Linked DNA regions of Tamandua tetradactyla. Each later gene encodes a partner of the first gene's protein in a complex. Links are inferred from orthologs where the notes say so. Each region holds a gene or a part of one and is shown on either strand. Other genes may lie near its edges.

The links. Proteins that work in one complex are often made in the same cells at the same time.
Region 2: TREX1 (region 1) and ANP32A share a complex: the UniProt entries of both Homo sapiens proteins name them as parts of the SET complex. The link is inferred for Tamandua tetradactyla from reciprocal best matches to the Homo sapiens genes TREX1 and ANP32A.

Annotation. Positions count from the first base shown.
Region 1 is NC_135341.1:37,815,679-37,825,871, reverse strand, and holds TREX1 (three-prime repair exonuclease 1), read left to right. Parts: upstream 1-5,758; 5' UTR 5,759-6,075; coding exon 6,076-6,282; intron 6,283-6,521; exon of another isoform or gene 6,522-6,547; coding exon of another isoform or gene 6,548-6,631; coding exon 6,632-7,492; 3' UTR 7,493-7,767; downstream 7,768-10,193. Other genes in the region: ATRIP (ATR-interacting protein), read left to right, coding at 148-277, 459-1,142, 3,687-3,823, 3,974-4,065, 4,512-4,592, 4,807-5,059, 5,465-5,532; SHISA5 (protein shisa-5), read right to left, coding at 8,952-9,031, 9,219-9,431, 9,609-9,724. UniProt on the Homo sapiens protein: Major cellular 3'-to-5' DNA exonuclease which digests single-stranded DNA (ssDNA) and double-stranded DNA (dsDNA) with mismatched 3' termini. Prevents cell-intrinsic initiation of autoimmunity.
Region 2 is NC_135340.1:86,158,324-86,169,365, reverse strand, and holds the start of ANP32A (acidic leucine-rich nuclear phosphoprotein 32 family member A), read left to right. Parts: upstream 1-7,022; 5' UTR 7,023-7,326; intron 7,327-7,840; 5' UTR 7,841-7,928; coding exon 7,929-7,994; intron 7,995-10,811; coding exon 10,812-10,961; intron 10,962-11,042. UniProt on the Homo sapiens protein: Multifunctional protein that is involved in the regulation of many processes including tumor suppression, apoptosis, cell cycle progression or transcription. Promotes apoptosis by favouring the activation of caspase-9/CASP9 and allowing apoptosome formation.

The DNA.
Region 1 (10,193 bases):
CCCAGAGCTTTCAGCACTGACAGGCAACATAATGGATCCTTGACTTAGAAGGCAGTTGGAATCCACAAAACCCTCAGCTTTTTCTTCTGAGGCCTTAGAAAAAGACTGCCATGTCAGAACCTTCTAGAGTCACCTTGTCTTCTGCAGGTTCCGTTTTGATAAATCTGCTTCTGAAGCAGCCTTTGATCCCAGGGTCATCCCTAGGACTGTGCCACCTCCTGAGCAGTTATTCTGAGCTGCCTACTGGCACCCTCTTGCAGCCACCAGGGTTTGGCAGGTAAGTGTAAGGCTTCTGAAAAGCTCATTTGGGAAAGAGTTGCCAGGAAACAAGCCCCTTCTGGCCCTGGCCAGCTTGGGAGATCTGTGGGCTGGGCAGGGAGACTAGAGTTTGGCAGGGAGGCTGTTTGGGGCCTTTGACCTCTCCATTCCAAACTTGTCTCTTTTATGTTTGTTGCTAGTGCTGTGGCTGGGATTTTGGGCCTCAGGACCACAAGTTTTCGTGATGGGTCATTTTCTCTCTCATCCCTGAGAGAAGCACAGAGCCTGGCATTCACTGGACTGAATCTGGTTGCCAGGGATGAAGGCTTATGTGACCAAGACCCAGCAGAGGGAAGTAGACGGGCCTTCCCACTCTGCCAGCTTCCTGGAGCCGTGCATCTCCTCCCCCTCGTACAGTTCTTCATCGGCTTACATTGCCAGGCCCTGCACGATTTGACAGCAACTAAGAGAAGTGGAGCACCTGGGGATTCACAGACACATTCCTCTTGTGTGAGCTCTGGGGTAGAGGCCGGCCCCGAGGACTCACTTTGCAACCTGGAAGGCTTCTCTGTTGCTTCACTTAGCATTCTTCAGCACCTTGTGTGCCACAGCGGAGCAGTTGTCTGCCTGTTACTGTCGGGAGTTGGGGCAGATTCTAGAAACAGAAACGAGAGCCTAGCTCACAGACATGGTCATGAGGATATGACCTCAGTTCCAAAGGAGGTTGCTGATGACCAAGCTCAGCATCCACTATTGAAGATGCTTCTTCACCTGTTGGCCTTCTCTTCTGCAGCAGCAGGTCATGTGCAAGCCAGTGTCCTGAGCCAGTGTCTTAAGGTTTTCGTGAAATTAGCTGAAAATGCTTCGTTTGATTTTTTGCCCAGGTATAAAGCAGGGTGGGAGTTATGGTTCCTTATGGGTCTTACTTACGAGGTCTAGCCTGTGAACTCTTGTACTTTGTTCCCATCCTTGATTTATTTACCCTGCTCAGTTCTAAGACTTGGTTCAGGGAGGGCTAGGTGTTGGGAGAACCAAGAAAGTGGTTTATTTGGTTTAATTCTGCTTCTGTACAGCAGGTAAACAGAAGGCATGCATAAGAAAAGGAAGCTGTTAGCTACTATGGAAGAGGGTCCTGCCCCTAGGACCAAAGGCTGAACCAAGAGGTCTTTGAACCTGGGGCATGGATCAGGTGAAGGCCACACAGCCACAGTTAATTTTGGTAGGGTTCCGTAAGGAAGCAGAAGATATGGGGAGTGGGCCCTGCTGGGAGTCTAATCATCACTGTGCCTGCCTCTGGCATGAGCTACAGATTGCTTCCTGTTCCTCTTGAGGTTTGTTGGAAGTGGTAGAAAAATCCTAGCTTGGGATGCCAGGACCTCAAGACTGGGAAGAACTGTAAACACCTTGCAGCCCACCCTCCATCCAGTAATTCAGTCTCCTGCAGAGCACTCCAAGGGGCCAGTTCCTAGGTTGGAATGACTCCACTGGCTAGGAGTATCTTAAGTCTTCTCATCTCTGAGTTCCTTAAAACACTGCTGGATTCTGGTTTGCATCTGAATACATTCTGATTGGTCTGGTCCATCCTGAAAGCAGTGCTCACTCTGAACACAGTACGGCAGTGTAGGAGGAGCGGCACAGTGGGGGACACAACCCTGGTGCTTAGCTCATAGTAGCTGATTGCTCATTTCATATTTGTTCTTTAATGAATCAACTCCAGAAACCAAGTTTTCACCAGCTTTTTTGGCAGGCACACCAACATTCCATTCCTGTTGAGCTTCTCCACGAGGACATTTAAAAACAGCCATTTAATGAGTGCTGACTATAGGCCAGATACTGTGCCAGCGGCCTTCCATTCATTAGCTCCCGTGACACCCTCATAGCCCTGCTTCCTCATACCTAGTGCAGAGCCTGGCTTATTGTAAGTATTTGGTGAGTGAATAAATGCTAAACTGTAGGAAGTGTAGTATGGATGAGGGTGAGTTTCAGGCCAGGTGTCAAGTCTCCAGAGTCATTGTCCTTGATCACTGTCTCACACCAGTGAGTCTCTTCAGAATTCTTTCCTGCTTTTTGTGCTTAAGTAGAACTCCACTACCACATGGCTGCCTGTCTGCTTTGGAGTGAAAACCAAGCAGGAACAGGATTCTCAAGGCTCTAAAGCAATGTGATGCAATACCAATAATCAAGAAGGCTGCAGTTGTCTTATGGTCCTTAACTATCCCCTCATATCTTTATCTTTCCTACTGTGTCTCTAGTAGCCCTAGGGGTCCAGGGTTGTTCCCCAGGGACTGGCAGGGGTTCTGAGCAAATAAGAGTTCACTCCCAATTTAACCAGATCAGCGTGTTACCTATTTGGTATATTGGAACTTTACCAAAAACTTCACTTAAAAAGAAGGTTCCCATGCTATTGAAAAGTAAATTGGAAACCCCTGTGTCATATATGAAGGTGGACTTTCGCCCAAGTAGTTTCAGGGGCTTTAGTGGACTAGTTCGGAATCAGTTCTAACCTTATTTAAATTCCAGTTTCCCACAAAATCCCACATAACTTGGCAACTGAAGAACATGTAGCATGTCTGCTGTGTAGGATTTGCTCTAAATGAGTTCACCCAAAATAGAATGAGACTCTGCTTCTAATGACATACTGAGGAATATTTTGGTCCACTGGGCTTTGTGCTAACACCCTGCAGGTGCATGAAAGGTATGCACAAGCTAGACCCAGGGGTTGTTTTAGAATTGCCCTCCCACCTACCAAGCTAGTCCTGCCTCATACTCCCCTGAGCTGTGTGGACTGTGCAAACTGCAGTGGTTGTGTTGGGATTTGGTTCCTTGGTAAAAGTCATCCCTTTGCCCCTGGGACCTGGGAGAGAGTGTGCCTAGAGCCCTTCGTCAGTGCACAAGGCCACTGCAGACACCTCACGCTTGGCAGCAGAGGAGCCTGATGTCTTCTGACAAATGGTCTTCCTTGCTCTGAGTGTGATCTCATCGGTTCCAACCATAGTGAAGTCCACATTTGTCACAGCAGGAGCTCTGTTCAGTCCTTTGATGGTGGGCCTAGAATATTTCTCTCACACCAAATAATGGCTTGTACCATATTTGGTATCAATGGCAAGAAAGAGCCCAGGAGCTGGGTGGAAGCCAGGCCTCCTGGGTCCAGGGAGTTTGCTCCCATTTCCTGCGTGATGCAGTATCAGGTGAGGGACTGTCATCTCTAACCACAGCAGTCCAATAAAGGTCAGTACCCCTGTTTTCATGAAAAAAATGAGTTTCACAGCAAGTAGGTGGTAGTCAGCATTCAAACCCAAGTCTGGATGAACTGAGTCTCTTCTTTGTACTGCTGTGATCTGATTTCCCATTGCCTGTAGTGAAAAGTGAGGGTGAATGGTAGATTGGGGTTGGGAAGTGTTACATCTCTCTGGACCCTTGTTTTTTAGGTTCCAGTGTATGTTCCAGGTGCTGCCACAGTGTCTCAGCCCAGAGACACCCCTGCCTAGTGTGCTGTTGACCATTAAGCTCCTCTCTCTCCTGGTGGACCACGAGAAGCTCACCCCTCAGCTCTGTTCCCACTCAGGTAAAATGGGGTGGTGGGTGGACATCTGGGCTGCTGCAGATTGGAGGGAAAGGTTGTGGAGGGTCAGGGCCTCCTGGGGGCTTCTGCAGCTCATACCCTGAGCTCTGGGTGAGAAGGGGGCTCTGAGTGAGAGGTGGGCATCCTTTTCAGAAGGCTGCCTCCTCCTTCTGCTGTACACGTACATCACATCAAGGCCTGACAGAGTGGCCTCAGAGACACAGTGGCTTCAGCTGGAACAAGAGGTAAAATCTCCAGAGACCTTTCCAGGGACTGCTCACCATCCCACTCATGCCAAGGCCCCACGGAACCTCCTTTCTCTATCCTTCCCATCCTGAGAAGCGTGGGAGCTTTAATTCATTTAGGTAAGAGTTTATCAGGCAGCTGAGGAGGTGAACTTGGTTTGGGGACCCCATGCCATGCAGGTGCATGCCAGGTTGTCCTGGGACTTGCCAGAGTTACCTGATGACTAAGCCTGTTCTGACTTTGGGTCTGGTGACTTGAGCAGGACCTGGAGGCAAATGGGGTTTTTGGAGAGACACATGACAGTTGTGAGTCTGGCCCAGAAAAGCCCAGCACCCTTGGACCCCATTTGTGCAAACAAGCTGGAGCTCTTTTAGAAGCCTGAGAAAGCCCTTGCTTATAATCAGGGCCTCATTATGGTGGCTACAGAACAGTCTTCTTGTTCTAGGCGGTGTGGCTTCTGACTAAGCTTGGTGTGCAGAGCCCCTCCTCCCCAGCCACTGGCTCCAACTGCCAGTGCAATGTGGAGGTGAGTGGACAGGGGCGGGCAGGGGCTGACAGCATGGCAGCTCTGTTGGTGGATAAGGTGGCCCTGGGCAAGGACCCTATGCTCCCTTTAATCATGCTACCCATCACTCAGAACCTTCCTCTCCTGGGTGGGTGGGAAATGTGCTGGTCAGCCTCGTGAGCTGTTAGGGTGCAGGCAGCTGAAAGACTTGACCTCAGTCTGCACCCTCCACCAGGCTGTCAGAGCACTCACAGTGATGCTGCACAGACAGTGGCTAACGGTGCGGAGGGCAGAGGGGCCTCCAAAGACTGACCGGCATAAGCGAATAGTACGATGTCTGCGGGACACAGTGCTGCTGCTGCACAGCCTGTCCCAGAAGGACAAGCTCTTTACTGTGCACTGCGTGGAGGTCCTGCATCAGTATGACCAGGTGATGCCAGGGGTCAGCACGCTCATTCGAGGGCTCCCTGATGTGACAGACTGTGAAGGTGAGTGGGCAAGAGAACCCAGCCCTGTCCTAGCCCTCATGTGGGGTTTTCCCTGAAGTTCATGGACAGGTTAGACTTCTTGCCTTCCTTCAGCAGTCCTCCATCCACCACAGCTCTTTACAACACTGGCGACAGTCTCATTGTCTTGCTCCAGTTCTTTTAGACACGTTGAACTGCCGTTTGCTTATATGTTTTGTTGAGTTGGCCTGGCAGAGCCACGGTTTTTCCAGAGATATCCCTATCTGAATTGCCTTTGTATCACTTTGCTTGCAGTAGCTGAGGGAGCAAGGCCTGGGCGTGGAAGGGACTGGTTAGTTCCTGCGGGTTTTGGGGGAGGAGAGGTGGGACCTCCCCTATTCCCCAGCACTTTCAAGCCTTCATCATAGAACCCTCTTTTTCACTCAGAGGCAGCCCTGGATGACCTTTGTGCTGCTGAGACAGATGTAGACGACCCCGAGATGGACTGTGGCTGAGGTCCGTGAGCATCATGCCACATGGTGGCGCCAGCACTCCTGCTTTCCTCATCTCATCAACTGATTAAAAGCTGTGACAGGTTGTTCTTGCCAAGAACATGCCAGCCTTGGTGTTGTGTTTCCTGAGTCTGTCTGTGTTTGTCTGAGTGGGAGGGATGGAACAGGACTGGTCCCAGGGAAGGCTGGGATCCTTCCTCCTGTCCCTGCCCAGAGTTGAGACCCCATCCCCATGGTAACTAATCTGCTTTGAGGAAAGAGCTCTGCCCAGCCTGTGAAATTGTCCTGAGTCATTGTTTTGGGCTGGGGCCATGGGAAGAAATCAGTGTAAGGCAGGGAAGGAGGTGGCCTTCAGCCCAGGCCTAAACCAGGGAGGTCTGGGAAAGTGGAGCCGAGGGGTGGGCACAAAAGGGTCACAGCAGGAGCTCCCAGCAGTGTTTGAGTCATGGAGCTAGCCTCCCCAGACAGCCTGGGCACCCCTTGTATTTTCAGTTGGTGTCAGCTGGCAAGTCCACAGCTGTGGATCTAAGAAGCCTTAAGGGTGCCATGGCAGCTAGGGGGGAAGGGAGGGTTGCCTGGGGAGGGAACGGGTGTTGGCGAGAGAGGCCCAGGCAGGCTAAGAGAAGAGCAGGGCGGGCCTTGCTCACGCGGGCCTGTGGGCGGGCAAAGGCTGAGTTTCACTTCCCGCCACTGCTGGCCCTTGGCGAGAACCAGCCAGAGCACGCCAGAGTGATTGTGCCTGCCTGCTATTCGGTGAGTGCAGACCCCCAGGGGGATGGGACAGGGTGGATGGCTGTGGGGAGCCCCACCAGGCTAGGTGAGCACTGGGGGAGGGGGCCAAACCCACATGAAGAAGACAGGCCCACCCTCCCTCCAAACTGATAGAGTGTATGCTCCCACTGAGGAAGCTCCCCCGCTCCCCAGCTTCCTGCCCTCCCCACCTTAGATAACTTTTCCACAGGAGCATTCACAATGCCCCACCCCTTCCCCAGGCTCAGCGGCAGGTACTTGCCCCACCATGGGCTCACAGGCCCCACCCCCGGGTCCCATGCAGACCTTCATCTTCTTGGACCTGGAGGCCACTGGCCTGCCCTTTTCCCAGCCCAAGGTCACGGAACTGTGCCTGCTAGCCATCCACAGATGTGCCCTGGAGAGCCCCCCTGCGCCCCAGGGGCCAACCCCTACAGTGCCTCCACTACCCCGGGTGGTAGACAAGCTCTCCCTCTGCGTGGCTCCAGGGAAGGTCTGCAGCCCTGCGGCCAGCAACATCACGGGCCTGAGCACGGCTATGCTGGCAGCACATGGGCGGCAGCGCTTCAATGCCGACCTGGCCAACCTGCTCCAAACCTTCCTACAACGCCAGCCACAGCCCTGGTGCCTGGTAGCACACAACGGTGATCGCTATGACTTCCCCCTGCTCCAGGCAGAGCTGGCTGCAGTGGGCCTTGCCAACACACTGGATGGTGCCTTCTGCGTGGACAGCATCGCTGCCCTGAAGGCCCTGGAGCGAGGCAGCAGCCCCTCTGCGCATGGCCCAAGAAAGAGCTACAGCTTGGGCAGCATCTACACACGCCTATTTGGGCAGAGCCCACCAGACTCGCACACAGCTGAGGGTGACGTCCTGGCCCTGCTCAGCATCTGTCAGTGGAGGCCACAGGCCCTGCTGCGGTGGGTGGATGCTCACGCTAGGCCCTTCAGCACTATCAAACCCATGTACATGGTCACAGCCTCCACTGGGACCAACCCTAGGTCATCTGCTGCCAAAGCCACCGCACCCCTGGCTGTACCCAAAGACACCAGTCCCAGCACAAGGGTGGGCAGGAAGTCCAAGTCTCCTCCTCCAGTGAAGGGCCCTGGAGCCCTACCCAAGAAGGGGCTGCTGGCCCCACTGGGCCTACTGACCCTCCTGACCTTGTTAATAGCCATACTGTATGGGCTGTCCCTGAGTATCCCTGGGCAGTAAGGCCAACAAGGAAAATCTGACTAATAAAGACCCCAACAGCACTACCTGGTCACTCGCCTCCTGCCCTCCTTTGCAACCTGGGCCTCTGCCCACACAGGAACCTGGGGGAGGAGGGGAGATCACAGACCGTGGCACAGTCTTTGTCTTCCACCCTTCCCAGCAGGATGGTCAGAAGTCTAAGCCCAATAAAAGTAGAACCTGGTCAAAAACTGAAATTGTAAGTGTTGAATGGAAATGGTACATCCCAACAGCCAAGGCTATGAAGAAAGGGGCTGCCGCTCCAAATTTGTATTTATTATAAAGAAGTATATAGACCACAGATCCTTTCTTAGAAACACATTAGCAGATACAAAGCTAAGACATTTCTGGTGAAACATTAACAAAAGGGATGGGGAACACCAGGGTATTCATGTCTAGGCCAGAGCTGCCATCCAAGGGCACTGCCCACCTTCGGTCCAGATGGCCCCTGGGTCCAGGTGTCCCCACTGCCAGTATGAATTGTGGACTGAGGTTCAAGAAGCTGGATCACCGTAGGGGTGGTGTCTGGGGAAGTAGGGACTACGAGAAGCTATATTTCCTCTTTTCTGTAAGACGATTTCTCCCCAGGACCCAGAGGTTTCAGCCTCACAGCAAACATCACACACACTTGGAAACAGAACACAGTGGGTAATATTTGGCTAAAAGTAAAACACTGCAGGGAAGAGACCTGAGTCTGTTGGCGGACAGAGGCCACCCTGCCAACCTGTGGCAGGAGTTTGGGCCAGCAAGGGCAGGAAAGCTTCCCCAAGGGCAGCCGTAACCATGGGTGGACGTGGACGTCCAGGTGGTCCCAGGGAGGATGCAGGGCATAGGGAGAGTCCACCAAACAACTGTCACATGCCAAAACTGGCCCTGAGAATGGTCCAGAGTGGGTGGGGCCCTGCCAGAGATGTTTTGGTATCAAGAAGCTGCCAGAGCCCCTTGGCCCACAACCCCAGGCTATGGGCATCTGCCCCAAAGGCTTGAAACCTAACTCAGTCAGATCCAAAACTTTGCCCACTTGCCGGCATCTTGGCTCTGGCACTAGGAAGGGCACCTCACACCCTGGGGCCAAGCTGTGGCATTGAGCAGAGACTGGCTACTCTGCCAAAACAAGGACACATGTCTTGTCCACAAAATGCTTTGCTATCCCCACGAGAGAAGCCCCACCTGATCTCCGTGAGGCATTCTAAAAAATACCACCACCTCAATTCTTCTGAGTTTTGCTTGAGATTTCAGAAAGCATGATTTCAAGTGAATAGGAGGACAAAAAGTTTAGTCCAAGCCCACTCTGGCAAAGATTATTTCCAACCTCAACAGCATCAAAGGAAGCATGTGTAGAGACAGAACACACATATGCACACCACGCATGGGGCAGGAAATAAACGTGCCCACCAATCTACTCACACACACAACACAATCACAGTGGCAGCCAGACTGCTCAGGGGGCCGCCTTTGGGGGATCCATGTAGGCCGGGTTGTAAGGAGGCTGGCTAATGGGGTAGGGCATGGCTGCATCTCCTGAAAATAAAGAGGACACTGGTTGGTTGTGGGCATCATGGGCTACCGTGGAGTGGGCAGACCAGCAGGAAGGGGTAGAGGACCTAACTGAGCCATGCACTCTGGGATGGATGCCCTGGGAGGGATCTGAAGGGGGAGTCCGGACTTCAGGGGTCAAGGGGGTCACAGAGTTGGCTGTGGTACTCACCAGACAAAGTCTCCTGGTAGGCAGGCGGGCCCAAGGGCTGGGTCGGGTAGGGCGGTGGGTACTGCGTCGGGTAGGATGCCACTGGCATCCCTGGGTGGGGAGCCATGGGGTGGTAGCCCTGGTATGTCGGTCCAGGGTATCCGGGTGGCATACTGGGAGCCTGTGGGTATGGGCTGTGCACCACAGTGGTGGATGAGGTGGTGGTCACAACCGCTGCAAAGAGAACCCTGGTCAGGACTCTCCGTCTCCCTGGGTCCTGGGGGCCAGGCTTGCCACCCCACCCTCCAGTTCAGCCAAAGCAGAACCCTGGTTAATTTCCTCTGCCCACCCAAAAGTCTACACCCACACACAGGAAACCACAGGAGGCAGGGTGGGGATGGGCATGCTTACGACGGGGTCGTCGGCACATCTTGTACAAACAGCAGCAGGAACAAGTGAAGCAGATGATAATGGTGACAACAGAGAGCACAAAGATAGTCAGGCCGATGGCCACGGTCGCCCCGAACCTGCCAAGGAGCCAGTCATGACCAAGGGCCTCTAAGCCGTTCCCAGGACGAGCAGTCCACAACTCATCCATTCCCAGGGGCACCCCGCTTGCCAGAACAGACCCTGTGCAATACAGGCAGAGCAACCTCCTGGTATGTAGCTTGAACCAGTTTCAACCTCAGTTTCCCCAAGTGTAAAATGGGGTGGTTTGTGAATATATGTAAACACCTCACCCAGAGACTGCCTCCCTTAGTCCCACCCTAAGGACCTTGGGAGGGGGTTTCTTCAAGCATCTCCTTTCCGCGCCCCTTCCCCCCACCCCAACCACTGCAAATATCAACGAATCAGCGGTTGTTCAAGGAACTCGTGCAATAAGCCAGGCAGTGTGTGATCTGAGCCAAAATCTCAGCAGTGGAAGAGACAGACCAAGTCCTGGCTGCCGGGAGCCCCCAGGCCAGTACAGGGGAGGGAATGTTCCAGGAAAACAAG
Region 2 (11,042 bases), on another chromosome or scaffold:
ATTAGTAGAAAAACAAAACAAGTAAACACGGTATACATGTGCAGCCTTTTGCTGATAGAAAATCAAGAGGAGTGTGTTTTGGGCATGACATTTTGGTTCTCCAACTGTTTTGAGACCTCGTGTTTTCCATAAGGAAGGCTTGCAGGTGGCCTATTCAGATCTACTAGCCAGCCTTTCGTGCCCATTCATGTGCATTGGCTATAGGCATAGCAGTAAAAGTAGCTATAGGTAAAGGGGAAGACAAGTGGGGATTTGACCAGGTCTGCCTGACTCTAGATCTTGCCTTTTGTCCTCAGAAAGTGCTGGAATAATAAACAGTTCTCACTCTGAGCTTCCTTTTCTCTGGTCCCATCCTTGAGAGGGCCCTGTTTGGGGCCCAAGCTGTCCATTTTAATCATAGGTCTTCACAGGGACGGGTGCTTCATTTAATGCTCTGTTGTTGCCATCTTGAAATTCTTAATCTTGAGCAGGCGACATTTTCCTTTTGTATTGGGCCCTACAAATTATGTAGCTCGTCCTGGTTTTTATATATTCCATTCCCTTGCTTGCTGTTTTTGGTTACCTCTACTTTGTCTATGTAGTGTGCCTATCCTATCTGTGGTGGAGGCATTTGAAGAATGAACTCTGTCCCAACATCAGTCCTGCTGCCTAGCACACTGAACTATAGCTGTTTGTCTTCTCCCAGGTCTCTACTGCACCTCTTACAGGCAAGGACTCCAGCCTTGGCTCACTGTAGCCGCCATGTCCTGTTGGCATTTTGCCCAGGAGAACAGCATTTCTGTGCACCCTGTGTGGATAGTGGTTTCACACAGCTGGGGCCCTGTGTGCCGAGCACTGGGTGAAGTCTGGAGGAGCTTGCACCATTGACTTGCCTCCCAGGAGCTTATGCTTGAGTTGGGGGCATAGACACCTAAAAAACATTTTTATTGTTGTTTATAAAAAATAATGCTTGTTCAACATTTATTCACCTAGTTACAATGCAAGTTTCATGATGGTTTGACTCACTACCTCATTCCCAGCTTCTCTTATTGTATCTGGCACAATAAAGAAGACATTCGTTAAGCGATTGCTTTAGTGTCCAGCTCCCCATTAGGCTGATTACAGAGGACAATCCCTGACTGAGGAGGATCGAATGCTTAATAGACAATTAAATGATTCATGTGGCGGCTGCCCTCACCCCCAGGATGCTCAGAGCTGGGTGATGGGAAGGCTTCCTGGCGAGGGGGATTTGAACTAGAGTTGTAGTTCAAGGGTGAGGTGGGAAGTGATGAGATTGGAGGAAATGGGGATTGGGGGGTTGAGAATGGGGGGCCTTGTAGATTATGTTTAGGGACTTGAATTTTTTTTCCAGGAGCAGTGGGAAGCCAGGAATATTTTCTGTAGGCTGGAGTTTGCACTTTGTAAGTTAAACAGATATTATCTCCTTTCTGTAGAGGCAGAATATCGTGCTTGGCGATATAGCTAGGTCATTGAGCCGGTTGGTCCTTCGACTCCACGTCAAAGCTTATTTCCAAGTGGTCCAGGCTGCCTCCTCACCACTTCCTTCCTCCCAGTCACAGAGCCCTGCTTTGGAGGCAAAAACAGGCTTGAAATGACAGGGACCAGGGCTGCAATATTGAGAATGGAGAGGAAAGGTCAAATTTAAGAGTTTTAAGGACAAGATTTCACAGTTTTGAAATAAGCAATGGTTGTTCCTTAAGAGTTAGTAACACATACATGTTTATAATCAGAATTTCAGCTCCCATTGTTGAGAAATGACTGATGTGTCCCCTTACTTGGGATCAAGTTTTTTCAGGAAATTCAGGGGCCCTGGCATTGCTGAGCCCCTCAGCCATTTTACCACCTACTCCATTTCCCGCAATCTGATTTCTTTGGAATCTTCATTGCCTTCCCAGTCACATCTTTTGGGGACTGAGTATTATGAATATGAGGGGTCCTCTTGAGTGTTAAATTTGAAGAATGAAGCATACAATCCTGTGTAGGTTTGTTTTAGGGGATTGAAAGTTCTTTATACTGAGTAATTCCAGTTGTTGGACTAGAGAAAGTAACCACATTCAGATATTTTTAAATGGCCAGTAGTATTGTAACTCTAAACCCAAAGTACAAATTTTCAGTTTAATTTTAACTCCTTTAACTTTGCACTTAGCTCACACCCAGGACTTGGCAAAGGAAATGGGCCTTAATTTTTTTTTTTTTCCTTTTCTTTCTTTTTTAAACAGAACACACCCTGGATGTGAAAGGTATGTTCTTTTCATTTTGAAGGTTTTTAGAGCAGAGGCTGCCCAGTACAGATGAGAGGAATGGGGTTGGAATTGCAACAGAAGGAGTTAAGAATCTTAAATCTCTGGGGTCAGAAGTTTTGAAACATGTTAGCCTATCCTGAGACTCTCCATGGAGGTGGGGGATGGGCTAAGTAACATTCACAGGTCAACTGTTGAGCTGGTGATTTTGCTTTGCCTTGTTTGATTTGTTTAGACACTTCACAGGCAGCCTATCCTGCTGTCCCCAGTGTAACACACCATCCTGCCTTGCCTTGCAGAAGAAGTCGTGGGCTCCCCACCATGTGGCTTTAGGCTTTTTGGTGATATTCACCAACCTCAAAATCAAAGTCCTGACCTCTCCCTTTTCTCTTTGATCTCACCTCAAACAGTGCTGAAACCCCTACCAGGAAGGAAGTACACATGCAGTGGGCATTCCAGAGACTCTACTACCTCGACTATTAACAGCCATCTGGTCCTTCAGAAACCATAGGGTTTCTCAAGTGAATGGGAACATCTTTTCAGCTCCTGGAGGAGAGAGCTTGGTTCCCAGACGCTTCAGGGTCCCTCCAGATTCTTGCTTTCTGACTGCAGCATCATCTGAGCAAGGGCCCAGCTGGGTTTTGTCCTTTGGTTACCAAGGAAGTGTAACCAAAGGACTGTGTAACATCTGGGACTGCTAGAAGTGGCGCCCACCCAGCTAATGGGACAGCTGGAAAAGGGGTTAAAGGGAACAGTTGTGGTTAAGGGAACTTCTACACTTGAGTTGATGTTCTGGGAGAGTTTGTGCCCTTTTCATCTTTTTTTTTTTTTTTTTTTTTTTTTCTGTTTTATTGATAATGGCCATTCTGGTGGGTGTGAGATGATATCTCATTGTGGTTTTGATTTGCATTTCTCTAATAGCCAGGGAAGTTGAGCATCTCTTCATGTGCCTTTTGGCCGTTTGTATTTCCTCTTCTGAGAAGTGTTTGTTCAAGTCTTTTGCCCATTTTGTAATTGGGTTGGCTGTCTTACTGTTGTTGAGTTGAACAGTCTCTTTATAAATTTCATCTTTAAAGCCAACACTGACCACCTTGATTAGTATGTACCCCTCTAGGGTCAAGTCCTGAGATTTTAGGATAAGTGGTTCACCCCAACTCCTACCTTATTAAAAAAAAAAAAAAACAACCAAAACTTCATATTTTAAAATAATATCAGACTCACGCACAGTATAGTTACAAAAATAACACAGACCCCATACAGAAAACTCCAGCATACCCCCACGCCCCCAGATACCCAGATCTACCATTTTAACATCTTGCCACCTTTGACATATCCTTCTATCTTCCATTTATCCTGTCTGTCTGCCTGTATCTATCTAGCTGTTGTCTGAACATTTGAGAGTAGGTTGCATACATCATACTGCTTAAATATGTGATAATTCCATGTACATTTCTTACAAACAAGGATATTCATTTATGAAATTACCCAAAGTACAGTTTTCAAGTTCAGGAAATTTAATATTGATATATACCTTACATTTTACATTCTCGTATTTTCTTGTGTCCCAATAATGTCTTTTTGAACCTTTTCTCCTCCATTCTTATATCCCATCCAGTATCATACATTGCTTTTAATTCTTTTTTAAATGTGAAAACATATATATAACATAAATTTATCCATCCCAGTCCCTCCCAAGGATACTATTCACTTAATCACCACCATCCATTACTAGAACTTTCCCTCCACCGCAAACAGAAACTCTACACTCGTTTTACATTAACTCCCCATTTCCCCTGTTCCCCACCTCTGACAACCTCTACCCTGTTTTCTGATTTTTTTTTGTGGTTATGATGGGGCTTATAACATTTTAAATCTTTAGCAGCCTCATTTGCTTTGATACCACCTTAACTTCTAAGAGCATATATAAACTGTGTTCCTGTACCCCTCTATCACCTCACCTTTGTGTAATTCTTGTCATAGATTACATATTTATACGTTATAAATCCAAAACCGTTGATTATTTGTGGGAAGCAAAAAGTGGAGTTTCAAATTTAAAATATGATAGTGCGGGTATTTATATTTACTCATTTCACTGTCTTTACTGGAGATCTTTATTTCTTCCTATGGCTTCAATCAGTGTCTAGTGTTCCTCCCTTTCAACTGAAGAACTCCCTTTAGCATTTCTTATAAGGTCAGATAACTGATTACAATGTCCCTCAGTTCTTGTTTGTCTGTGAGTGTCTTAGTTCCTTCCTCTTTTTATTTATTTTTTTTTATTTTAGTAACATACCAACTAAAATTTCTCCCTTTTTAACTGTATTCAGAAATGTAATCTCCTTCATTTTTTAAATATTTTCTTTAAATTGTGAAATATAACATACACACAAAAAAGCAATAAATTTCCAAGTACATTTTAACAAGTACTTATAGAACAAATTTTCATGTTTGGTATTGGTTATGGTTCCACAATTTTATTTTATTTTTTTTCTTGTAGCTGCTCTTAAGACACTAGAGACCAACAGAAATATCAATATAATGATTCAGGAGTCATACTCATTTGTTAAATCCTTTCTTCTCTGTTATACGTCTCTTCTTTAAATAGCATATATATACATAAAAGCAATAAATTTCAAAGTATATCACAACATTTCCTTCATTGTTGAAAGACAGTTTTGCTGGATACAGAATTCTTGCTTGGTGATTTTTTTTTTTTTTTTTGCTTTTAGCATTTTAAATCTGTCTTCAGTGCCTTCCTGCCTCCTTGGTTTCCATAGAGAAACCAGCACTTGAATCTTATTGAGGCACCCCTGTATGTGGCATTTAGCTTCTCTTTTGTAGTCTTAAGAATCCTCTCTTTATCCTTGGCAGTCAGCAGTTTGATTATAACATGGCAAGGCATGGATCTATTTGGTTTTATCCTGTGTGGAGTTCATTGAACATCCTGAATATGTATATTCATGTGTTTGCTTAATTTGGGGAGTTTTCAGCCATTATTTCTTTGAATATTCCCTCTGCCCCTTTCCTCTCTTTCTGGGACCCCCACAATGGTGATAAGCTTGATGATGTCCCACAGGTTCTTCAGGCTCTGTTCACTTTTCTTCATTTTTTTCTTTTTTCTCCTCCTCAGACTGGATGATTTCTGTTGTCTTCAAGCCCCACTGATTTTTTCTTCTGCGAGCTCCAATAAGCTGTTGAACCCTTCCTGGGAACTTACATTTCTGTTACTATGGTTTTTCAGCTCTGTTTGGTTCCTTTTCATAATTTCCATCTCTCTGTTCTCTTTATGTTCATCTGTCCTTTTCCTGATTTCCCTTAGTTCTTTGTCCATGTTTTCCTTCAGCATCCTGAGTATATTTGGGACTGATTTTTAAAAATCTGACTGATACATCTCAGATCTGGTTCTCCTCATTGATGGTTTCTAAGGCTTTAATTTTCTCTCTTGTCTGTGCCATCTCTTCCTGTATCTTTTGTATGTTTTACAGTCTTTTGTGAAACCTGGCTATTTTGATATTTTAGTGTGCTATCTTGAAATTTAGATTTTGAGTCCCCAATTCCTTAAGCTTTTATCAAGCTAGTATTCTGATAGTGCTTTCTTTGAATGCCAGGAATTAACAGTAAAAAAGGAAACACCTTTCCCAGTCTTAGCAGATTGATCTATGCAAGTGCTGCCCTTCAGAGCTTATCTGCACAGTCAATTTGGAGAATAGCTCCAAGCCAAAGCCTGGGGCTTCCTTGATCTTTTCCTACGGGCCTCTTACCTTGGGCATGTGCTCACGGCCCTAGAAATTCCCTCATGTATGCGGTTCCACGTGTCCCCTCATCCCTAGAAAACTGTTTTCTCACCATTCTGGGCACAGTACTGTTTGTCCTACAGCCAGCAACCCCTTGCTCCAGGCAGCACGGCTTGACTGCTCTCCCACAATGCTTTGTAGGAGACCTCAGTGAACTGCCTCCTCTACATGCAAGCCAAGTTCTGGGACAGCAAATCCCTCAAGTCACCACCGGATAGGTCAGGCCAGACATACATGTTCCCCGTATGTCAAAGAGGGTTACTTTGCTCCTTCTGTAACCAGGCCCAGAGCTCACACTGGGAGTGCAGGTTGACCAGCCAGAGCTTCGAAAGATCCTGTTACTTTTAATTTGTCTTTTTCTTGGTTTGGTTCGGTTCTTGACCTGTTACTGCAGTCGTTTAACTGTTTTCTAGAACTTAAGAAAGATTATTTTTGCCAGTTGTTGCTGGTCGTTCAAAGCTTCTGTGGGGGAACAGAGCCCTGAAGTGTCTCATTCAACCATATTAATTGGGACTTTCAGATAGGTAGTTCTGCTGTGAGTATAAGATGAGGAGACTACCCCAATATAATGCATGTGATATACCTAGAGTGTGCCTGAAAAGGCTCAAGAAAGATTCTGGGATTATTAGTAATAAAGTTAGTAATGGCAGTGGCTTGTGTACTGTCCCCGAGTTTGGGTGTGGTGTTGGGAGCTGGGAAGTATCCTGGTCTGAGCTTTGAAACCCTGCCCTGTGTCTGTAGTATTCCTAGGCTGCCAGCAGGAGTGGCAGGCAGTATTGTGCCTCTCTGGGAAAGAGGCCAACTTCCAGGAGGAATTCCCTGACTCCCCAGCACTCCCTTCCCCCATTTCTGAGGCTCTCCTCTCCTTGGTTAATGGCAGTAAGAGGAGAAGCCCTTGACCCATCTAGCAAAACCACGTCTGAAATCTTTGAGGGTGGACTGGAATCCCTTTTCATATTTGTCTTTCTTTGTGGGAGCTTAAAAGAATTCCCAGGGCCTTCCAAGGAAGCCAGTTACTAAAGAAGACTGTTTAGTCTTCTTTATTAACTTCTTTTTTAGACCTTGTGACTCCAGTGTTTACTGCAAATGAAAGCGATGGTTCCCCCTCCCTCCCTCAATATAGTTGATTTCTGTATGTTCGCTCTGATCTCCTACAGCCTGGCTTCCTGACTCTGTATTGTTTTCCTGTCCGAGAGCAGAAGGCCTCACAGAATTTATTCCCAGGCACTCTTGGCCAACAACTTTGAGAAGGTGGTTTGACCTGGCCATCTAGCCTCTCCTGGGGCTTGAGGAGGGTAAGAAAGGAACTTAACTTATTTCATCTCAGAACCAATTTCAGAAAGGTGGGCCTTGGTGGCCAGGGTATCTCTGGGAAAGAGCTGCCATTCCCTGGGTTTTATCCTCTGTGATCTATGCCAGATCAAACCTAAAAACTGCTGCTGGCTGAGACAGGGTGCTCTGCCTCTGTTCTGAGGAAAAATTGGAAACAGAGTAGCTGTGGGCCCCTGCAGGACTCAGATGCAGGTGTGCCCTCAGGGGTCCCCTGCTGGCAGGGATGGACCAAGGGGAGGCTGGGTATCCTGTCCCCAGCTCTTCTTCCAAGTTTCCGCTTGGCTCAGAGATGCCTGAGTAGGAGGGAGACACTATTCTTTCTACCCCACCTGGAGGACTGTGACAAGCTGTGGTCATCTTGGACCCTTTGGAAGCTAGACAAACTGGCCTGCTCAGAGCCTGGGGCACTGTGGAGGGTGGGAGGGAAGGAACTGCCCTAGACAAGGGCTGGGTTGAATGTCCATCTGCCTGTCTAAGAGAAGAAAAGACTTCAGACAATTGGAGGGCTACTATTGAGGACAAACCTGTTCCATGTGAGCTATTGGTGAAAAATCAGGACCTGTGGATGGAAGTCTGGAAGTCCCAGGAGACATCAGTAAATGTTTCCTGGCAGGCTGCAGGTAGTAGAAAGGTGAGGATGGCTGTGATCCTGGGCTGGGTATTATAGGGGGTTTTGAGTATCAGATACAGCCCTGAGGGATCACCTTTAAGGAGCTTTTCAGCCCTGGTTTATTTCATGCCTGAGACTTAATTACTTTCTCTCAGATGATCTTCCTACCATCTTTACTAGAGCCTGGAATTTCACTTGCAACTCTATTCCTGCATTTAAGACAAATCTACTTCTAAAAGCCTCCTTCTGTCTCCTTAGAAATAAAAGTTGTTTTTGTTTTTAATTTTTTTAAACATAACATACAAATGTGAACATTATTAGCATATGATCATTCCATTCTTGGTATATAGTCAAAAACTCAAAGTATCATCACTGTGATCATTTCTTAGAACATTTGCATTAATTCAGAAAAAGAAAAGAGAACAAAACTCATACATAACATACCCTTTACCTTTCCCTCTCATTGGACTACTAATATTTCCATCTACCCAATATATTTTAGCCTTTGTTTCCCCTATTTTTTTCTATTCCCATTACCATTCCCTTTCATTAATCACTAGCAGTTCAATTTACTAAATTTAACATTTGTTCCACCTATTATTTATTTATTTTTAATCCCTATGTTTTACTTATTTGTCCATACCGTAGATAAAAGGAGCATGAGACACAAGGTTTTCACAATCACACAGTCACATTGAGAAAGCTGTATCATTATACAATCATCTTCAAGAAACATGGCTACTGGAACACAGCTCTGCATTTTCAGGCACTTCCCTTCAACCTCTCCAATATAACATAACTAAAAAGGTGATATCTAAATAATGCGTAAGAACAACCTCCGGGATAACCTCTCAACTCTGTTTGAAATCTCTCAGCCATTGACACTTTATTTTGTCTCATTTCACTCTTCCCCATTTAGGTCAAGAAGGTTTTCTCAATCCCTTGATGCTGAGTCCCAGCTCATTCTAGGATTTCTGTCCCACATTGCCAGGAAGGTCCACACCCCTGGTAGTCATGTCCCACGTTGGGGGGGGGGGGGCAGTGAGTTTGCTTGTCCTGCTGACTGAGAGAGAGGCCACATCTGAGCAACAAAAGAGGTTCTCTTGGGGGTGACTCTTAGGCCTAAATTTTAAGTAGGCTTGACCTATCCTTTGTGGGGTTAAGTTTCATATGAGCAAACCCCAAGATTGGGGGCTCAGCCTGTAGCTTTGGTTGTCCACACTGCTTGTGAGAATATCAAGAATTCAACTTGGGAAAGTTGCATTTCTCCCCATTCTCACCATTCCCTGAAGGGGACTTTGCAAATACTTTTCCACTCACTGATCAAATCACTCTGGGATTCATCGGGGCATCACTCTGGACAAACCTACAAACTCTCATGCCCTACTCAAGGTTCCATGTACTTGTGGTATTCAATTAAACTGTCCACACAATTTATATTAGGAAATGCACTAGTCAAATTATAAATTTTTTACCAAATAAACATTGTTTTGCTTTAGTCTCACATAAATTAAAGTTTTTAAAATATGAATTACCATGTTTTCAGCACCCTGCAATACTGACGTTCCTTTGTTCTTCCTCATGCAAAAACATTTTATAATTTGTACATTTGGTCACTATCATTGTACACTCTAGGCATTCCTAGATTATACCATCTTAGTCTTTATCGTCTGTCTTTCCTTCTGATCTCATTTGTGCCTGTCATTCTCACATTCAGCTTCAAGAAATAAAGGGTTTTAAGACTCAAATTTGTGGTAAGAGGAGAAGGGAGAACATAAGGACTCTAATAAGGCAAAACTACCTCTAGGGAGTTGGAGAGGGATAAGAGGTCAGAGGTACTGCCAAAGGCCTTTTAGGCTTTGCCAACCTCAGCATGTCATGGGCCAACCTTAGGTTTGTGGCTTGATTTCCATTTTTGCCTCCCACTTCTTTGCTCAGGACCCCGAAGAGCAAAATTAAAGTTGTGTTGTTCTATATAATTCTTAATACTTAATTAAAATTGAATTTAAAATTCAGTTCATCGGTCACACTAGCCACATTTTGAGTGCTCAGAAGCCACATGTAGCTAGTGGCTACTCTCTTAGACAGTGAGGAACATTGCCCAAATTGCTGGATGTTCTATTGGACAGTGCTGGTCTGGAGAGGAAGAAGAGTCCTGGTCTGCTGCCCGTCGTGGAGCAGGCCAATGGGTGACCTTGGTGATGAATGCCAGCATCAGGTGGGCAGGCTTTGCCTGATGTCAGGAGCTGGTGAGAGCGAGCATGTGTGTGAATCTGGGAAACTGTCAGCAGGCAGCAGGTCAGGGACTCGTGGAGGCAAAAGGAAGTGGGGCGGTGAGGATCAGAAGTAGGTAGCTGGGATGGTTAGGTTGGGGTCATAAAAAAGGCACTGGAGTCAGGGGAGATCTGATAGTGTTGAGTCCTAGGCCCAGAGGTCCTCAACAACATAGTGGCCAGTCCTGGTAGGGAGCTGTGGGACTGGTGTTTTCGTTTTAAATGGGGTTTGGGGGAGAATGTGGCATTAGGGTTGGAATAAAACCACCTTCCTGGGCATAGCAACAGAGCCTGTTGGATTTGTCTCCTCCAGTCCAGCAAAAGCTCCTGTCTGAAGTGGCTTCCTGGTTTGGCAACTCTGCAACCCGACCCTCCTTTTCTCCTCAATAGTGCTGAAGGCAGAAAGACCAGGATAGGTGAACTGTCCTTTGATCATTGGCAGAACAGTGATCCAGAAGAACCAGAAAAGCTCTGTCTCCATACCCACAAAGGAGGGCTCTCTGTCACCGTTTCCACTACTTCTGCCTTCCCTTAACTTCCATTCATGCATAACTTTCCTTTCCAGGTGAAAGAGCTTGTCCTGGACAACTGTCGGTCGAATGAAGGCAAAATCGAAGGCCTCACAGATGAATTTGAAGAACTGGAGTTCTTAAGTACAATCAATGTAGGCCTCACCTCAGTCGCAAACTTACCAAAGTTAAACAAACTTAAGAAGGTAAATATGAGAGTGTAGGGAGTATGTGTGTGTTGGGAGGAGGAAGGGATTACTTTGTGTTTCAGGAGCATAATTGCAGGT